2 linked regions of the Macaca fascicularis genome follow. The protein of the gene in region 2 purifies or fractionates together with the protein of the main gene of each other region. This does not show direct contact. Links are inferred from orthologs where the notes say so. Each region holds a gene or a part of one and is shown on either strand. Other genes may lie near its edges. The genes, in order: NCK2 and LRFN4.

Region 1 (4,428 bases), on a different chromosome or scaffold from region 2:
GCTGCATACTTTTGATAACCCATTAAAAGGCTATCATGACCTTCTTCTGAGTTGGCTTAACTCAGGCATGGAACAACACACATGAAATCACGTTTTAGCTTAGGGCCTTTGAAAACGTGCCATGAAGTACTTCCATCACACATTTTAGGAAAGAGAAACCATTTGGAAGTGCCACTTGCCATCCCTCTGGATGGGAAAACTAATTTCCTAAGCCTCTGAAGTGAGTTGTGGGGAGTTTCCAGTTCACTTGTGAAAACAGTTTTCCCAAACATCGCTCATCATCCTCCCCTGCAGTTCCGGCAAGCAATTTTGGGCTCTCGTCATTAAGCCTCATTTTTAATGTCAGAGAATGAATTCCACAAGCCTTGTCTCCCCCAGTGCACATGGCAAGCCAGTCCGAGCAGTTAGAAAAATGGGTGTCCCATAGAGCAGCACAGCCTGCTCTAGCCAGGGCAAATTAAGCTAGCTCAACTGATCAAGTAAAGGACTCCAGTACATTCTGCACCATTCGCGGAGTCTTAGGGTATTTTAAAAGGTTATCCAGTCTGTGCACATGCAAGGAAGATTTCCGGTGTATTTAAAATGGATGATAGTGCATTTCTCAAATATAGTACTGTGTACATAAGATCTGCTGTTTGTTGGAAAAGCTAAATAACCCAAAATGTAAATGACAGAGCCTGGGAATATGTCAGGGTCAAACAGAGCAGGGATGAAGAAGATTTAAGTATGCAGCGCGTCCTAAGCAAAACACAAAGCCTGAAAACTGAGCACAGCCACCTGCAAGGCACCTTCAGCGAGCCCCACGGTTAACAGGGTCAGTTTCTCCACAAGTGGACAGAGGGGCTTATGCAGCAGCCAACTCTTCCTGATGGTAATTTGTGACCCAATTTCATCCAGTGTTTCATGATCAATCCCCCTGAATGTTTATGAAGCAGGAAAGAAGCTCAGAATCCAGGAGAGGCCTCCCGGACAGGAAGTGGGCCAGGCACCTCCACAGCTTCCTATGCCTAAAGTTCTCCATTTCAGCCTCAAGTAGCCACCAGAAGACCACTAAGATTCCGCCACCTTCTCCAATCAAAACTACATCTAACCAACCTCCAGGGGAGAATATACTGAGGTAGGATTTTCCCTTGTGTTCACTTCTTCACAAGCAAGGTTAACACTTGCTTCTCAGGAAATCCCTGTTCCAAACATCAAAAAACCTCCATGTCTAGCCCAATCTCCAGGTGAAGTCAATTTCTTCTCCACGTGTCCGATGACCGCCATTCTCTTTACATAAAACTCGCATAGGCTTGAATCCTGTTACTAATTCACCTGCTTATCTATGAAGCTTGGAAAGTGAATTGAGGGAGTGTTCACAAGCACAGTTCCGTTTCGGTAAGTTAAAGCAGCCCAGGTTAATTTCATTTTCCGTCACTTTTGAGACTTGATAACTACATCTAAAACAGAGGCATGAAAAACACCCTGAATCACTTTCATTACTACACAAAATCCCTTCCGAGAAGCGGGGACTGGGCCTGGGCCAGGAAGGGACTCCCCTACCTGTGGGTCCCACCAAGCCACGCCCACCGGCCTCTCAGGGTGGTTTCTTTCTGGGTCGAGGGATGGAGCTGGCCCATGCGATATTTTAGGCCCCCTCCTGCCCACACTGGGGCCTGCTCATCCCATTATGCATATGCAAACTTGGCAGAAGCGGCCTTAAACCTGTTGGCAAAATAAACAAAGCCAAATAAAGAGGAATCTGCCAACCTGAATTGTGAGAAGTGACCAAGGCCGACTACACGACTCCACGCCCGCTCGGCTTTGTCCCTGAAGCTGCTACAAAACTAGTTTAAGTCAGGTGCCTGGGGTCCACCAGCCAATGACCCCTAGCATCCAGCGCAGACCTTCACAGAGATCCTTATTGTCTACAAATTACAGCGTTTTGCAAATTAAACCCCTCCCCACAATGCCAAGCTAACTGTGCTCATAAGGGAGTTACCGTCCATGCCTTAAAACTCACACATCAAATTTTTCCAAAACCACTGGGTGATTAAATCGCCCTGAAAAACACCGAGAGGGCCGAGCGGTTGTGAGAAACTTTGGTTCAGGTGGCTGTAAGAGTCCTGTAAATCTGGGGCAGGGCGCAGAGCCTGAAGCCGGGCACAAAAGCTCCCTTCGCCGAAGCGAAGACCTCCTTTATGCGATGTGACAGCAGCTTTGTGCGCGATCATAAATAGTTGTAATAAACACAGTTAAGTTCTCCCAGCCGATCGCGGCCTCCCCGGTCCCTGCGCCGGGGCCCTGCGATCCGCGGCTATTCTTCCCCGGCACACGCGCCCTGGCGACCCTGGCCACCGCACGGTCCCGCGCTAGCCCCGAGCTCCGTGCCAGCCGCCCGCCCGCAGGCCAGGCGCAGCCTGCGCACCCGGGGGTCTCCAGTCCCCGGGCCCCGCCGCCGGGCCCCCTGCCCTGATCCCCGCCCGCGCCGTTGGCTGGCGTCCCCGCCTCTGCGCCGGGCCGCGATGGTGGGGGTTGGGGATGGGAAGGCGGGCAGGAAGGTGCCGAGCCGGGAGATGCCCGGCAGCCCACAGTCGGGGGCGCCCAGGCCGCGGCGGGGCCGAGAGTACCGGTGGGGCGCGGAGGCGACCCGCTCTCGCAGCCCCTTCCCGGGCGCACCCCGGCCCACGAGCCCCGCCGCGCTCCCAACTCCGCCCAACGACCCCAAGTTTGTGGCCCCCGCCCCGCGCCCGCCTGGCCGTGCTTACCTCGCTGTGGGCCGCCCGCGGAGCCGAAGGGCAGCGGCGCGGGTCCCGGGGCGGCGGCCGCCCTGCGCCCGCCCAGGCGCCGCTCTTTGTCTGCGCCGCTCCCTCCTCCCGCCGCCGGGCGGACGCTGCCGGCCCGGGCGGACCCCGCCGGCCCGGGCGCCGCGAGCCTCCCCGCAGCCGAGCCCTCCCCTCCGCCCGCCGTCCGCTCGGCCGCGCGGCTCCGGCCTGACGATCCCCGCGGCGGCGGCGGCGGCGGCGGCGGCGGCGACCCTCCCCCGGCGCGCAGCGCCCGCCTCCTCCGCGCTCTTCCTCCTCCTCCCGCGCTCCTCCCCGGCAGCGCCGTGACGCCGCCCAGGGGCCGGCCCAGGCCCGGGCACGCGGGGCGGGGACCCGAGACCCACCTGGGGCGCCCCCCGGCGCCGCCAGGCTCCGCGCCCGGGTACCGGTACGGGCGCGGGTATAGCGCCGGGCTGCGGGACGCTCCGCTCTGGAGGCGCAGCACTGGCCCGGCGCCGGGGACAGGAAAGGGTCCCCACGCCCGAAATTGCGCGCGGGCGGTGGGGGGCAGGCTGGGTGGGTGGGGAGGAGAGTGAAAACATAGGCTGCAACTTCCAGCCTGGGATGCCTGCCGGGTAGGCTTTGCGTCCTCTTTTTTGTTTGTTTGATGTCCTTATCGCGAAGCTGTAGTTGCTGGGCAGCCGCCCCCCTCCCGGAAGCATTCCCACGGCACTCAGCTAAGCAGGCCTGGTGTCCATCAGAAAAGTGACTTAAATAAAAATGTCACTTCCTCCTTGTAATTGCTTGTGGGCATTTTTATTTATTTGTCTTGCATCTATTTACTTTCCCAACCAGACACGTTTTTAGTCCATCATCCCTGTCTGAGGCACTTCCTAAAGGGAGAAGAAACTCGACCTCTGTTGCCTCCCAGGCATCCAGGCCAGCCCCAGCCAGTGGAATCCTGGTTGCACACCCATGGGGACAGGATCCGAAGAGGAGCTGCCCGAATGTGCCCCTAGAAGGAGTGTCGCTAATGATGGGACTGTTCAGCTCACCCAGCCTCAAGTTGTGGCTAGCCTATAAACAAACTTGGAAGATTAAAACCCAAAAGCAAGGGGAAAGACGCAAGTTTCCCTTTCACAGACACATGCATCCGGATGTCTTTTCTCCTCCCCATATGGTTTCCCAAAGGAAATCCTAATATTCAAATGATTCTGATTTCCTGGCAGGATAGCCTGCATCCATGTTAATGAGATTCTTTCTTAGGCTGCTGGTCTCTGCTTACTATTAAGACAATAATAATTTATCCAAGGTTACAAGGCAGTATTATTTGATTCAGTCATCTGCTTCCTTCCAGAAAGGAAGTACCCAAGGACAGGTAACTAGAGTCAGTGTAGCTTTGAAGTCAGACAGGTGAGTGTTTGTTGACTTCCTGAACTGTGTAACCTTGCACAGGTGGTCTTAGCCTTTCTAACATCTGTCAAATGGGGAGATAATATTTACCTACCTCCTATGTGAAGGACTCTGGCAGTAGGTAGCCCTCAATAGCTCAGTAAGTGGAAGAAGGCACAGTACACTGAGCAGGGATCAGGTACAAGCTCAGGGAATCAGGACAGCCTCCCTTTTCCTTGTTTTGATCCTGTGAAAGAAGCTACTTCAGTTCATCCTTTTGTGCAAGCCTCGT
Region 2 (4,582 bases):
GACAGGAAGCCGGGAGGCCCGAGGCTGCTGTGGCTGCCCCCACAGGGCCCGGGAGCCCCTCCCTTGTCTGTGTGCTACCACTGGCCTGTGTCCCATCTTCCCGTCTTGGGGGACCTAGCCAGACAAGACCAGAGACTAGCATTGAGGTGTCCCCAACAATTTTATTATAAATAAAAACAAGACTCCCAATTGGTGGCTGCAGCCCCTGCCTTGGTGGCTGTGAGCACCTGTTGGAGGGACCTGCCCCTTACTCTGGTCTGGAGGCCAGAACCGAGGAAAGGGCTCCCTGCCCCGCCAAGCACACAGGGGAGCCTGAGGTACCGAGAGTAAAAACCAGGGAGGGACTCCCAGGCCAGGTGGCCGCCCTGGGCCCTCTGCCCCACGAGGCTCATCCCTTGGAGCACACAGGAAGCTGCCCGTGCATCACACCACACTCTCTTCCAGCCGCTCGGCGCTGCCTCCTACCCCCCGGCACCCTGCCCCGAGCAGCCCTCCGTGCACAGAGTGGCTCCGTCGGGCCCAGGCTCCCCCCAGGCGCCTGGCGTAACCGTAGCACCCGGCGTCTCCCAGGTCCAGAGAGCAGCTGCGCTGCGGCCGGGGCGGGGGGCTCCGTGGCGGGTGGGCCTTGGGTGTGGGGCTGGGGCCTCCATTGGTCTGGGACTGGACGTGGCTGAGCTTGAGGGGGAGGCGGCCATTCCCAGCCCCCCGGCCCCGAACCAGCAAGGCCACAGTGAAGACCAGTAAGGCAGCCACCAGCACACCCCCCACGGCCACGGTCAGGGTCCCGCCCAGCACGTGGGCCTGCAGGGCGTGGCACAGGGGTGAGGCTGGCAGCGTGGAGAAATGGGCACAGCCCAGCAGCCTGGTGGCCGTGAGGTCGGAGGGCCCAGCGGCCGGTGACAAGGCCAGCAGGCAGAGGTCATAGTCAGCGCCGGGGACCAGGTGCTTCAGCAGGAAGTGGTGGCTGGAGGCTGGGACTATCCTGCAGGCAAGGGCAGGTGGTCAGAGCTGGGGGCTGGGGTCTAGCTCCATCCTCACCTCCCCGCTCCCGTGCTCCCAGCTTCAAACACCCCTCCCCCGGGGGCCACTCGGGCTCTTGCATTCACTCAGGAAGGCAAACAGGCTCAAGAGTGTGGCCAGGAGATGGGTGTGTGCACTGGCACAGGACCCAGGCAAGCGAGGGGGATGGGGTGGGGGGATGGCACCAGCAGGGCAGAAATAACGCGTGCGGGCGCGGGCCATGTGCTTCAGACAGACCCAACCGCCACCTGCTGCCGGAGGAGGCCTGCACAGCTCAGTGACACCTGGGACATCTCATGGGGTGGGGTCCTCCTGCCACCCCTTGAGCTCCAGCCCCTCAGGCAGCCAGGCCAGGCCACTGCTCCTCCAAGAGTCCAGCAGCCATGGTCTGGGAGCGGTTTTCAGCCCCAGAGAGAGGAGGAGCGAAAGCAAAGCCTTGTGGGGAGCAGAGGGCGGAGGGAGGGCACCAGGAGTGCAGCCGGGTGTGGGGCGCATGTTCTCACCGGTAGATGAGCGTCTCATCCTCGCTGCTGTTGTACTGGATTTGGAACATCCACACTGGGTCTGCTGGCCGCCCAGGACCCCAGCTCACCAACCCTGACGTGGCGGTCACCTCTGTCACCTGCACGGCTGGCTCAGACTCCAGCGTCCCCTCACCCTCGGCAGCAGTGCGAGCCGAGGCGGCGATGTCCGAGGGCCCGGGGCGGCCCCCCTCAGCGCTGGTGTTCCCACCGTGGGGCAAGGCCAGGACCCGCAGTTCTACTCGGGCCGTGGCCTCACCAGCAGGGTTGGTGGCGATGCAGGTGTAGCCCCCAGCATCCCCAGCGCCAGTCACCCCAATCTCTAAGGTCCCGTTGGGGAAAGCCCGGGCTCGGGAGGAGTTGCCAACCAACCGGTCATCAGGACCAACCCAGTGCATGGTGGGCGCGGGGTCACCCAGGGCCCGGCACCGCAGCGTGGCCCGCTGGCCTTCCAGCACCCAGAGGCGCTGCGTGTGGCGGGCAATGAGGGGCGGCTCGCAGGAGAACTCGCCCTCAGGCACTGCCCAGAAGTAGCGGCCGGCCAGGCCGGGCGGGGAGGCGCAGGTCTCCAGGTCGTCCGGCCGCGCCAGCCGCCGCAGCCACAGCAGCTCACAGTTGCAGTGCAGGGGGTTCCCGCTGAAGCTCAGCACCAGGGGGGCGGGAGAAGCCTCTGCGTCACGCCCACGAGAGAAGAGCGGATCCGGAGCCAGCGTGGCCAGGCGGTTGGAGGTGAGGTCCAGGCGGGAGAGCTGACCGAGCTGGGCGAAGGCGCCTGGGGGCAGTGCATCAATGAGGTTATGGTCCAGGTTGAGGGTGTGCAGGGCAGGCATGGCGCCGATGCCGGCCCAGGGCACCTGCCGGAGGTTGTTGTAGGACAGGTCCAGGTCCTCCAGGCTCTCGAGGAAGTCGTCAAAGGCTCCTGGCGCGATGCGTCCCAGCTGGTTGCCGCTGAGGATGAGGTGCTGCAGGTTGACGGGGCCCCGAAGGCTGCCTGTACCCAGCTCCACCAGCCTGTTGCCATCCAGGTGCAGGGAACGAAGGCTCTCGAGGTCCCCAAAGGCGCGGGCCCCAATGCGGGTGATGGCATTACGCGACAGCGTCAGGTCCACCAGCCCTGTCATGTTGCGGAAGTCAGGGGGCCCCAGGGCCTGGATAAAGTTGTCAGCCAGTCGCAGCTCCACTGTGCGCCGGTCCACGTTGGGCGGCACAAACAGCAGGCCTCGGTGGGCACAAAGGGTGCTGAGCGACTCGGACAGGTTCTGGCAGACGCAGGGCAGCGGGCAGGCGGCCGCTCCACTGGCCAGCAGCAGCAGCAGGAGCGGCGGGGCCATGGTGAGCGCCCTGTAGGGAAGGGCCACAGCCCGGGCACAGGTGGGGCTGGTGCAGGTGCCCACTTGGGCCCAGGACAGTCCCAGAAGCCAGCTTCTGTGAGCCTGGCCCGGGGAGGGGCTGGGTCAGAGGCCCAAGAGGGCCGCCAGGGATGAGGGAAGGTTGGGGCCTGCAGGGCCAGGCCCCCCAGAGCAAAGGTCACATTTCCCAAGCAGTTAAGGGGGAGTCCAGGCGCTGGGCACAAGGTGAGACATGAGGCAGGAAGCGGAGGAGGACGGAGAGCAGGGAGGGTCCCGGAACTTCCTTTCCCAGGCGTTCCCAGGAATCGCCAGCCCCCTCCCCCCTCCGCGCCATCCCCTCCCCCGCCAGAGAAGGCGCCCCCCGAACCTCCCGTGGAGTCCGTGTCCCCACCCAGGCCGGCCCCCGCGCTGCGCCCGGCGGCCCCCTCACCTGGTGTCCGTCGCTCAGGGGGCGCGGGCCGGCCTCCCTGCGAGCCCGGCCGGCCCCCGCCGACTCCTGGCCGCTCTCCCGCGGGGGCGAGGCCCGGGGATGACCGGCCGCCCGCCGCCCACCCTCGGGCCCATGGCGCTCGGGCCCGCGGCCCCGGCTCGCTCGGTTCCCGGCACCTTTTCCCAGCGCGGTTCGCGGTGGCGGCGGCGACAGGCGAGCGGGTGCGCGCCGGCGGGCGCGCGCGCCGTGGACACGCACGTGGAGGGCGGACGGGGAGGGGCGCGCGGGGATCCACCCGGGCCCGGGCCGGCTCCCGAGGTCACGGGGACACGCGGCTGCTGCAGCGCCCACGGGTGGCACCCAGTCACGCCCGAGGCCCAGGCCGGCGCGGGCCCGCCGCGCTGCCCCCCGGCGCTGCCGCAGCGCACTCACCCTGGCACAGGCGCGCGCGCCCCCGGCCACCCTGGCGCCCCGGCATCCTGCACCGCACGGGCGCCCGCCGCCGCGGCGCGAACCTCACTCTGCAGACAGCCAGACAAAGCGCCTGCTCGCGGACCCCTTCACCATCTCCCGGAGACGGGAGTCTTTGTCACATGTCGCTGGGCACCCTCCCCAGCACACCCACACATGCCCACACACCCACACGTCCCTGCACCCACGGGCAGGGCCGAGCGCAAACCCGCACTGTTGCTGGGACCCTCGCGTTCACAGACACACGCTGAAGGTCATAACCGTTCTGCATCACCGAGTCACGTGGAGGGTCCCCAACCGGCACGGGGTTCGGCCGTGGGGGGGCTGGGGCGGCCCCACTGGCAAGGCTGCTGCGGGGTGGGGCCGAGAGGGCTCGGCCTCTGGGCAGGCGCCCCGCCCCCGCCGCCCCGCCCTGTCTCTGCTGCCTCTCCCTCCCTCCCCAGCTGCCCCGCCCGCCCTGCCGGCCAGGCGTTCCGAGCCAACCGGCCTCCGCCTCGGGCCGGATTGGTCTGCGCGGCGCGGCTTCGCAACGGCCGGGGGCACGCAGTGGGAAGCTGTGCGTCCTCGCAGCGCTTTCAGCCCCTCCTTCCCGCTCTGTCCCCGCCGGGCCATTTTCCTGGAAGAGCGGCTCGGAACCAGCTGGGCTCAGAGAAAGGGCTCCCGGCGTGAGGTGGGGGAGGTTCCTTGCTTCCTGGTGGAGAAAGCTGGGGCTTGGGGGGCTTGGGTGGCTCGGCGAGCCTGGTCTCCTTCCAGCTGCCCGCCACCACCAGCGGTCTGGCCAGTTGGGAAAC

The links.
Region 1: the proteins of LRFN4 (region 2) and NCK2 purify together in Homo sapiens (co-immunoprecipitation; 3 studies listed by BioGRID and IntAct, counting the BioPlex papers as one, with this or other methods). This does not show direct contact. The link is inferred for Macaca fascicularis from reciprocal best matches to the Homo sapiens genes LRFN4 and NCK2.

What each region holds. Positions count from the first base shown.
Region 1 is NC_088387.1:10,175,017-10,179,444, reverse strand, and holds the start of NCK2 (cytoplasmic protein NCK2), read right to left. Parts: upstream 2,975-4,428; 5' UTR 2,748-2,974; intron 1-2,747. UniProt on the Homo sapiens protein: Adapter protein which associates with tyrosine-phosphorylated growth factor receptors or their cellular substrates. Maintains low levels of EIF2S1 phosphorylation by promoting its dephosphorylation by PP1.
Region 2 is NC_088388.1:7,524,025-7,528,606, forward strand, and holds LRFN4 (leucine-rich repeat and fibronectin type-III domain-containing protein 4), read right to left. Parts: upstream 3,026-4,582; intron 2,883-3,025; 5' UTR 2,873-2,882; coding exon 1,524-2,872; intron 983-1,523; coding exon 424-982; 3' UTR 142-423; downstream 1-141. Other genes in the region: uncharacterized protein, read left to right, coding at 3,123-4,460. UniProt on the Homo sapiens protein: Promotes neurite outgrowth in hippocampal neurons. May play a role in redistributing DLG4 to the cell periphery.